3 linked regions of the Solanum lycopersicum genome follow. The protein of the gene in region 3 binds, or shares a complex with, the protein of the main gene of each other region. Links are inferred from orthologs where the notes say so. Each region holds a gene or a part of one and is shown on either strand. Other genes may lie near its edges.

Region 1 (3,349 bases), on a different chromosome or scaffold from region 3:
CTTTTATTTCCAGTAATCAAAAGCTATGCTGTTAAATACAAGGATATGTATTAGAAACAGGCACCAAGTCCTCATCCTTGCCAGAGGAACTGTTCTTAGATGCTTAATTGTTCTTGATGGAAAACAAAGAAAGAAGGTTCAAATTTGTGTCTTATAGCTCTTTGGAAATAAGAATCTCATTTTACCTTTTACTGATATGACAACTCTATATTCTCATCACTTGACTCCAACACTAGAGCTCAGATGCTAGCTGAGTTTTTACTGACATGCAAATAGTGAAAATAATACTATGCCTTGATCAACTGCAATAACACAAAAAAAAACTTACAAGCCTAAGCATGGCATAATGATTCCTTTGACTCATTGTTACAAGAGACTTTCCAATTTAACTCCATCTCATATCATGAATGATTTAAGCAGCAATTTCATCGCAAATCCAAACCTGTAAGCCATTTTCAACCATGGAGGTGGATAGACAAGGAATATAAAGTTAATATCTGGATAGAAAGTTAACAAACATCAAATGTAGCTCAAGCTTGTTATACATTTGTGAGAATTAGTTTACGATCTCTTTTGCCTGCACCAGATTACGGAATAAGCTGCTTATGTTTCAGCACACATTTTAATACTTCACAGAAGAGTAGGAACGGAAAGCAGTTCCAATTAGCAATGTTTTACTTCAATACGGACTGTACAAGTTCAAAATCAAGCCTTAAACAACTCATGGAAAGCAGATGCAGTAAAAACATTCAAGTATGACACGTCCTGTCTCTTTGAGAATTTTTTGGCAAAATACAGTACAAGAACTTCTATTTGAATGGTAAAGAGTCATTTCCAGCACGTCTTGATCTGTACATTTCCAAGCTTTTCTTTGAAAAGATAGCCAGAGCTTAAACAATTCATGGACATGTAGAAATCATGCCTGACCACACTTGCTTAGGCATGCAACTCCCTCTTCTAAATAATCTTGTCTATTGATCCAAAACTCAGGGGCATCCTGCAGAAATTATTCAATTATCTACTTATTTCTGTTAACATAATAATGTTGCTTTCAAATTGTATGCTCTTCAATTAGGGTGTGCATTGATTCATTGCAATCCTTTTCCTTTTTGGCATAATGAAAAGAAAAAACTTAAGAACGCTCAAGGAGAAGAATGACGAGAATTTATTTTTTTAGGTGAATGAGCTTCCTGACTGGAAGAATAGGACAGCAAGAATAATTTAAACATGGAAATATACCAGCCACTATGATTTCAGCATAATATTAAACATTTAAGTTACGGCATAAAATTCTTTTACTTGCTCTACTAAGTGGACTTTATTTAATTTAGTTGCATTCAGCCACAGGAACATCTCTCATACACAGATTATTTGATCAATTGCAGAGGAAGAACAAGAAAAAGAGAAGGATCGGAGGGATGTGAAACACAAATTTCCTTGTGCCTGAATCTGATGATTGCACGGGCCTAAATCATATCAAAATAGTATAATCCAACATGTGCCACAACCACTTCAATGGAGGACAGAAATAGAATATTCAAATCCAGAAAATTATGAAAAAGTGTACACAGATTAGAAAAGGATGTATCTTATTAGCTTTCTTTTTGTTTCTCCTGGGAATAAATTCTTTTTTATATGCATGAAAAAGCAAGGAGCAGAGATGGGGCTACAGAGAGGAAATCGATACCACCATACCTTCATAATTCCGGCCAGAACTGCACCACCGAGATACACCATATGCTTTCTTCTGGGTGGATCTTCTATTCGTAAGCGCAATTTCTATTGCAGAAAACATATAAAATAAAATTTTCAAAAATAGAGAAAATTTCAACAACTTAAAGAAAACCAAGAAATGCATCATAAAAGACAGCAATTGTAGGCAATGCAATCCAACTCCCTAGATATGTTAAACCCTACTCGTACTTTTCCAACTACTTTCTTATCTCCATCTCTTGATTGACTTGACCTCATATAGAGCCGAAATCACCATAAGCTGCAGCTACCAGTGAGATTGAGGTATTTTATTGTGGTTTGTGGGTAAGACTATTTGAATAAATGCAACTTAGTTGCATAAACCTTATTCATAAACCAAAAACCTCAAGAAATTGTGAAAAGAACAAATAAGAGTCACACAGTACCTTCAAACCATCTTTGTTCCCCTTCAGAACAACATCAAGATAGCGGTCCAAAATTTCTTTCTCAAGGCTGTCAATGTTTAAAAAGAAGGGAAAATAGCTGTTATTAAAGGAAACAAGAATATGATGAGTGTGGTCATGAGGTGGGTAAGAAAGAGTTTCGTTCCTTATATTCCCACAGTAAACCAAAAGAAATGTTAACTGCAAAAGTAAAGTTCAAAGGAATAAATCACAAAGAGATGAAAGTCCTTCTTGATGACAGCTCACGGATATTCTTAACAGAAATTCTTCATGCATTAAAGTGTATACCTAAATTTCCTAATATAGCACATTTCTAAACAATACTCATATCCTCTCGAATAGAATTTCATACTCTAATTTATGATACGTAACAAGATGAGAGTTAAAATAGTATGTAGTGAAAATGAATATATATTTCACGTTGATTTGCATTTTTAGATATGCCTTCATGCATTTCATGGTCGTTATGATACTAACAATTTCAGAAGGGTACTTATGAGCAGGAGAAAAATAGAACAACTATGAGGAATAAGTCATCAGTCAGATATACCAAAGCTGACTGCTACCAGGAGGAGGGAATCAGCAAAATTTTGATACCGTAAGAGGAGAATCATAAAATTCAAAATCCACAGGGAGGTGAATTAGAGTTCTTCGCACAATAAAAGAGTGTTATCAAAGTTATAGCATAACAGTTTTACAGTTCAAATTTCTCTGCCAGATTGATTAAACATTAGTCCTGAGGAAAAAATAATTCAAGGATATACTTTGGTTCATAAACTCAAAGCAAACTGTCACACCCGTTAAAACTTCCTAGTCTGTATGACAATAATGTAGCATTTAGAATCAACCACGCACAATTGCACTACTCAGCTCCAAGTTCTCAAAGCTTTATAATAAGGAAGAGTATTTTGAGTAAGTTACCGACTAGGTAAGCCAGGATACATGGTACTTCCACCACTCAAAACAATATGCTGGTAGAGCTGCAAGTGAAAATTTAAACATATGATGGATGGCAAATGACAACACTATGGCAAAGAATACAGAAGAAATTTCAAAGTTGAAGTACCATCATCCTGTTGTCAATATCCATCTCCTGAATGCAGCGAAATACCATGTCAGCCATGCCATCACCTTCAACATCAATAAGATCCTGAAATGGACAGAAAAAGTGACACTTAGCTTCCTTCCACATA
Region 2 (3,840 bases), on a different chromosome or scaffold from region 3:
GACCATCAGGCGCTCCAAGACCAAGAGCATCCAAGGATTACACATCAAGAAGTTACAGATCTCTAAGAGATAATCAGAAGATGCTTGGAGAGCATGGCGAAGATTCGAGCAAAGCATATCATGTTTGAGAGTTCAAGGAGTGCTTGGAAGTGGCTGAAAAAAAAACTTGCTGGAAAGTAAAGTCCAGCACACGGCTAAGGCATTGGGTGTGGACAGAAGGAGCTAAGGCTGGACGCCTTGCACCGAAACACAAACACCAAAAGTTAAGCGGGCTGGAAATTACGACTCAGTGCAGCGGGCTGAACTTGAGGAATCGGTCATGTGTGACACACTGGTCTTACAAATTGGGAGGCTTTTCAGTTAGTGTAATTTATTCTTTTCTCAAACATAGGTAATATAATCTGCACATAAGGTTAAACTCGTTTTTAGAGAGGTTTTGATATAATTTTGAGATTGATATCTTTCTGAGGCTCAAACAGTCTTTGTCCGGACTGAATTTCAAAATTCTTTCAAGCTTGAACCTTGGTGGTAATTCTTTTTACTTCTAAATCTTTATATTTTTGGTTCTTTCTTTTCTGTTCTTCAGTTTTGGTTGGAATTTCTATCATGTTATTTCCATTAATCAGTGTGTAAGATACCGTACTGCATGCATGTATCCAAATCATATCTAAGTCCCCTACTCTAAATCAGTTACTGTCTTGTTTATCACCATTAGACTATATATAGACTTCTTGAAGTGAGTACAGATCAAAGAAAGACCACAATCCATCCCATATTGCCAATAACAGATCCTCATTGCCAAGATGTTTTAAAAACAGAATACAACATTTGTCATTTATTTATTCCTCTTTGAAGAAACCAAAGTGTAACTCAAAATAGTGGAATGAACACATGAAATGTAAGCCATGTAGCTCATTTAGTGCACCAAACCAGGAAAAGGGCCAAGTCGATCACCAAAGGAAAAGAAACAGCATGGTTTTCATCATGCGTGGAAGTTATCACACTATCAACTCAGAGAGATAATTGTCACCAAAGTAATGAAATATGTAAGCAAAAAAATGCTTTCTTTACCATTTTCCTTGCTGAAAATTTTGCTTCTTAGCACCAGAAGGCAATGTATAATTTCGAACCAAAGAGGCTATAACACCAATCTGCAGATGCACTCATCAAGTATCAGATAACTAAGATTAATTAGAACACAACTAACATGACTCCAATATAAGAGGACGTGCATCAAAATTTACGATTACTTCATCTACATCAGATAACTAGCTATGCATCTAAGTAATATTCAGGTAATCTTCCATATAGTCCAACATCTTCCGTCCTCTCTCCCCTTGTTCCTTTTTTATTTCCAGATCATCTATGCACTTTCATTCCCAACCATTCTATTCGTATCTTTTTAATTTGCGCTACTATAGAATTATCCATTAAACACAGGCAGAGCTACAGCTTCGACCAAAACCAGTAGGTTCGGCTCAAATCTTGTATTTGCGTTTAAGAATCCACCTAATATGCATAAATAAGTTATCAATAACTTAGTAAACACCGTTTTCTAGAATCCATACACTCAAATTCCTAGCTCACCCTTGATTAAACATGGTTTAGCAAATCATGTAAGTTATCTTACATTTCCCATAACATCAACTATAATGCCAGTTTTTCCCTCTTTAGTTACACATCAAAAAGTTCCCTATATCGCCATAAAAACACAAATATAGCATCTCATTTCCAATTTTAAGTTTTTTTTCAATCCGAATTCTATAAGCAAGATCTCCGACCTAGCTATTTCCCCTAATTCCCAAGCGAATTATATTAACTGAATTACGATATCAATTAAACAGTTTAAAGCATTTTGGAAAAAGCAATTATAATCACAGTAGTAACAATCACGGCAACAGTTTCAACAACAAAAACGCAATATGTTAAACATATGATAATAAGAGTAGATACGAAAAGATATGCAACAGATCGTAATTTTACGTACTGGATTTCCGAGAAGAGATAGTTAATTTCACCGGCGAGAGATGTTGAGATCGACAGGGATGGGTGATATTTTCCGGCGAAGATCAAAGAAGAAGTGAAGAGAGAATCGGGTATAAACGGTGATGGTAGTTGAAGATGGGCTTAACGATCAACTATTATTGGGCTCAATGTTTATGGGCCTCTTCTTAACCAATTTGAAGTTTAGTAAAATAGTACGATAATTGAGGTATAAGAAATAACGAGCGATAAAAGAAATTGAAGGACGAGAAACTATATGAGTAATGCTAGGACTACTAGTGTGGACGTATAGCAAGACGACACACACTACTGCCTACTAACTTCTTTAGCCTAATACGTGCCTTTCAAAACCTTATATCTAAAGTCGTATCCTTATTAAGTCGAAAATGTGTCATGTTCTATCTAATTACCTCTCTCCAAATACTTCTTCGACCTATCTCTACCTTTTCGAGGCCGCCCATTATCAACCTCTCACACCTTCATATTGGGACATTCGTGCAGCTCCTCTTTACATACATTAGCCTTGCTTTCTACATCTTGTCCTTCATCAAAATCACTCTCATGCACCTTGTCTCCGAATATCCTCGTTTCTAATCATGTCTTATTATTATTCCCACACATTCATCGCAAACATTTCATCTCCGTAGCTTTCATATTTTGAACATGAAAGTTCTTGACTAATCGACACTCTATCTCATACTATACGGTAGGTTTAACCATCACTTTTTGTCAAACTTGCCTAGCATTTTTTTCTTTCCTTATACTTTATGTCACGAATATACAGGTATCATATTGTTAAACAACGTAAATATATATGTATAATTTTTTTTTAATCAAGAAATATATCCATTTCAAATCACAAACTTAACGTTATATTTGCGCCTTTTCCATAAAGTATATATGATTTTTAAGGAGTCTAGATTTAATAATAGACTAATTGAAATACCCTACTTTATAATTCACCAATAATAATGATGACTACCTAATTTCTAAAAGGGGAATAATTCTAGGAATAATGCTATTCTATGAAAACTTTTGATAATGACATTGTTTTGAAAAAATTATTTCTCTACTTTTTCTTTTTTTTTAAAATTTGTGGTCTTCATTGTTCTAACTCTTAATCTTAAGAATAATCCATCACAAAATTCTCTAATTTCAATCAGTTCAACTTGCAATAATTTTGGGGCTTAGCTTTTTTCTAATTACTTTAGTTGATTTTGAATTGAAATATTGATATATTAACAAATTTAACATTCTTTTTTTTCTAGTAAAATTCAATATTTCAAAGGGAGAGTGTGGAAAGGGAATCTGTGCTAATGTTAACGTCAAAGTTATATAATTGAATTCAAATTAATAAGTTAAATATACCAGCTGTCTGGAATAAGTTTTTATGTATATTTAAATTAAAATTCTATTCGTAAATATAATGATATAAATCTATTTTGATTGTGACATTTATTGACTAAACATTGTAAATTTCACAAATTAATGTGAAGTAGTTGTGTATTAAAAAAAAACTTTAGGTCAAAATCAACATTATCTAAAAAATCTAATATAATTCTTTATTTATTGATAGTGAAATCCATTTTTTGAAAATATCTCATGTATAAAATTCAATCACTTGTGGTCCACAAAGCCAACATTTTCTCATCTTATTTATTGTCTTTATGATTTGTTAATCATCCAACAATAAAAATAACACTAATTTTAATTTATTTCTCGTTCAATATCAAATATCTGATTTTTAAATTTATATTAAATAAAATTTATTGAAGGAGGAAATATTTTTTCTACTAGAATTTTTTTTTTAATTCTAAAATTTAAACAAGAGACTTC
Region 3 (3,600 bases):
GAGAACTCAGAATTACACCTTGAACAGCAGCAATGTCTGTTATCATTTTTATAGCCTCTGAAATGAACAAAAGACAACACAAATTTTATGAGAACCGCCGCAGTGTGAAATGCTATCAAAGTAGTAATTGAAAGAAGTTCAATTTGGTTCGACTATTGATGGCTCAGTTTATATCTTAGCATCACCATAACAAAGTGGCAGTTGCTAACCACTTTAAATTCATTATTGTTTTCACTTGTGGTGCCACATTTTATTGTTTATTATTGCATGATCGATTATTCTGCTTCTGAGATGTTTCTAAAGCAGGATAAAGGGGTGGTAGGCAGCATTGATGAGAGGAGTTCCAAACCTTTACCATGCGGCATTCTACCAAAATTGAGTCGTATAGTCAGCTGATATCCTTCTTTTGGAGGCTCAACAATCTCCACAACTTCAGCACTGATAGCCTTTACCTTCTGTATAGTGTAACGTGAAAGACGAGTTGAGACCAGGAATGCTTGAGACAGAATCGGGGTTGCTATTGATAAGTAGGTATGATCGGGATCTGACACCAATGACTGACAAAATATTTCAAAAAAAAAGAAGTTATGGACACATATTTTGGATTGTTGAAAATCAGCAGACATTTTAGCAAAAAAATGCATTTCTCAACTTGGAGTTCGTTTTTTAAATATAAAACTAGTTGCTTGAATTGTTCTTCAGTTCGAAGGATCTTCCTTTAGACAAACCTTGTCTTTTGTGCCATGAACTTCAATCAGGTATGCAATGTATGCTTGTGGTTTTTAGTTGCTCTTACCTGAATGTAATATTCAATGGACCCAAATTCATGAAGGTGATGGTCGGCATCAATAGCCCTTTCATCTCTGTCTCAAGAAAAAACAAGCATGTTCATGGTAAGAGTTTTGGTTTTTACATATACGTTTATTCAAAAACTTAAGAAGAAACACGTCGGAGTACTGCTTATAATTCATCAGGTAAATTCTAAAGGTTAATTACTTACACTTGTTCCAGCTTAACAATTCTAAATGGACGTCTCTATTTTAATGTTTATTGATGTGTCTTTTCTTTGTCGGTTTCATATAAATCTGTTGTATATAGTAATGATGCGGATAGGATTCATATGCTGATCCCAAATTGTAGTCTAACTTGATATAAAATCGTGATTATTCAGTCCAATGAGTTTGTTTGTATGAGTATGCTCTCAATAACTGCATGTCGTTTATGCAGCAAGACCAACTTAGCAGGAACTTAGAGAATATGGTGCTTGGCTGATTGGCTCGTCTCTTTCAAGCACTTCGGTAAGTCCAATACCGACTTGTGATCACAAAAAGTGGCATGTTTTAAATTTTCTCGGTGTTGCTGTCACTAATTGACTGTTGAAAGCAACATTTGATAATAGATCAGAAGGCAAATGTAGCCCCAGCAATGGAATTCTACCTGTACAACGCCTTCTTTTATCTGGCCAAATAGAATCCGTTTTCTGAACACTCAATGTCTATCTGCTTCCACATCATAACTATAAACAAATTACTATTCATCGGCAATGTTAACTAATCATGTATTTCTCAAAACTTAATTCTACTTTATCTAATGATTCCTGCTTAATCTTTATAATTGCCTTATGTTCTGTACTTTCTCCTCTTTACCTTATGAGACGCTCTTCAACTTGATTCTTATTATGTTATCTTGAAAATCTTAGCGAGCTCACTGTATGTTTTTGATAGACTAGAATTACCTAGTATTGAATTTGGAACTGAACTCGAATACTAGACCGACCCTACACTATGATCAGCAATGCTCATCCAGATGAATACGTTTGTTGCACTCAACGGTTCCCCTAGTGGTTTGAGAACCATGAAATCTTAAACGCTAAGTGATCTCTTCTTATTTGTCTAAGCCTTGGTGGAAAGTGGATAGAGTTCGGAGATAGCATATACCTGTGGAATTAGTTAAGGTGCAAGCAAGCTAGCCAGGAGGACACCATGATAATATACAAAAACATGTTGCATCATTTGCTAGGTGTTGAGATTAGCAAAGTAATATATTATAACTAATAAAACGCTTTGTTGTGTTAGCCTCTACAGGAAAAGAATACTCGTGGACTTAACTGAGAAGTAAATCTTGAGTACATGACTTGAAGTACGAAGAACAACGAGTATAGTTCATTTTACCGGTATAATCTGAGCAGAATCTCCTTCAATGCTGGTGATGCACGTTCAAAACGCGCCATGCTTTGGATGTTGATCTTGAAAGTGGAATGAACTTCACATGAAGGTATGTAAAACAAGCTTTTTTACTGATGAGTTGTTGTGGTAGAAGTAGTTCAGTTTTTATATTGAGTAAAATGCAAGATTCTAATTTTGCAATCATTTTTAGTGTATTTTGAAGCAATTTATTCACCAAACAAGACAAATGGCACTACATTTTTTTTTTGTCTTCAGTTCATATGATCATTATCTGTCGATGCTTGTCTTCAAAGATCAGGTAACAGATGGAATAATTAATCATGTTATATATGATTCTATGCACTGGTTACTGAACTATTTATTTTTTTTCACTCGGTGTCCGGAGTTCACATTGGAGCCCAACTAAATTCAGATCGTGCACTGCAAGGCCCATCCGGGAATAACGCTCCTAACAAGATTTTCTCCATACTCAAAGCTCGGACTCGAGACTTCTGATTAAGAGTGAAACACTCTACTAGTGCACGGTTATTAAACCATTATTGATCATTATTATATGGTATCCACTTCACTTGGTTGTTGCATGTGTGCAAAATCAATCAAGAAGAGATCTTATTGTATAATTAAGTTAATGAATTTTTGGAACTACTTATATATTTTTTAAAAAAAAATATTGATTTGTTGGATCTTATTATGGTGTGGGGGCCAATCTTGAGATATTTTAATCGTCTTTCTTTAATGGTTGGTATATTTTTCTAATTCCAATTTACACTTGGATTTTAAAACAAAATCTACTAAATCGAAAAGGGTGTTTTCAGGTAAGGTGAATTTATGATTCGAACTCGAAGTTATTTGTTTTTCTACCACGGGAGGAGTTGATTTGGATTGTCTTAAGCAGTTTAGGTAATCGTTGACATCTTGTCAATTTATTCAAAGTAGCTTTATCAAGATCAGAAGCAAAATTGTGCAAAGATTTCTAATTTCACGAATTGTATCGTTTGATTGGAGGTACAAGAGATAATAATCTCGCGATTATATGTGAGATAAGTTTATCTTACATTTGGTTGAATTTTCGAAATTGAGATTAGTAATTTGGGGATAAAACACTACAAATGACAATGATGCCCTTTTCCAAGGCTCTTCCCTCCAAAGTCCTTCATAAAACTCAAGGTTAAAATTGGAAATATAAGTTTATCCCAACTTATCTAGTGTATATACACCAAGAACATGTTTTATTTTATATCCCACACATCTCATTTTTAGTCCAATGAACCAAATATCGCGCGTAATAAAGATACTTGATTCAGATGAATCGATGTCACAAGTTTGCATCCGTCTTTATAGAAGTGAATATAATCTATATTCAATGAATTCAACTAAATTCGATAATTACGACAAATATCTTTAAAATACGAAA

The links.
Region 1: actin-related protein 2/3 complex subunit 2B (region 3) and actin-related protein 2 share a complex: the UniProt entries of both Arabidopsis thaliana proteins name them as parts of the arp2/3 complex. The link is inferred for Solanum lycopersicum from reciprocal best matches to the Arabidopsis thaliana genes arpc2b and ARP2.
Region 2: actin-related protein 2/3 complex subunit 2B (region 3) and actin-related protein 2/3 complex subunit 3 share a complex: the UniProt entries of both Arabidopsis thaliana proteins name them as parts of the arp2/3 complex. The link is inferred for Solanum lycopersicum from reciprocal best matches to the Arabidopsis thaliana genes arpc2b and ARPC3.

What each region holds. Positions count from the first base shown.
Region 1 is NC_090801.1:71,236,207-71,239,555, reverse strand, and holds the end of actin-related protein 2, read right to left. Parts: intron 3,307-3,349; coding exon 3,223-3,306; intron 3,137-3,222; coding exon 3,078-3,136; intron 2,206-3,077; coding exon 2,139-2,205; intron 1,780-2,138; coding exon 1,696-1,779; intron 998-1,695; coding exon 917-997; 3' UTR 642-916; downstream 1-641. UniProt on the Arabidopsis thaliana protein: Functions as ATP-binding component of the Arp2/3 complex which is involved in regulation of actin polymerization and together with an activating nucleation-promoting factor (NPF) mediates the formation of branched actin networks.
Region 2 is NC_090806.1:3,894,212-3,898,051, reverse strand, and holds the start of actin-related protein 2/3 complex subunit 3, read right to left. Parts: upstream 2,164-3,840; 5' UTR 1,988-2,163; intron 1,152-1,987; 5' UTR 1,075-1,151; coding exon 1,072-1,074; intron 1-1,071. UniProt on the Arabidopsis thaliana protein: Functions as a component of the Arp2/3 complex which is involved in regulation of actin polymerization and together with an activating nucleation-promoting factor (NPF) mediates the formation of branched actin networks.
Region 3 is NC_090808.1:67,514,549-67,518,148, reverse strand, and holds the start of actin-related protein 2/3 complex subunit 2B, read right to left. Parts: upstream 2,369-3,600; 5' UTR 2,231-2,368; coding exon 2,172-2,230; exon of another isoform or gene 2,132-2,171; coding exon of another isoform or gene 2,109-2,131; intron 864-2,108; coding exon 797-863; intron 558-796; coding exon 350-557; intron 58-349; coding exon 1-57. UniProt on the Arabidopsis thaliana protein: Functions as actin-binding component of the Arp2/3 complex which is involved in regulation of actin polymerization and together with an activating nucleation-promoting factor (NPF) mediates the formation of branched actin networks.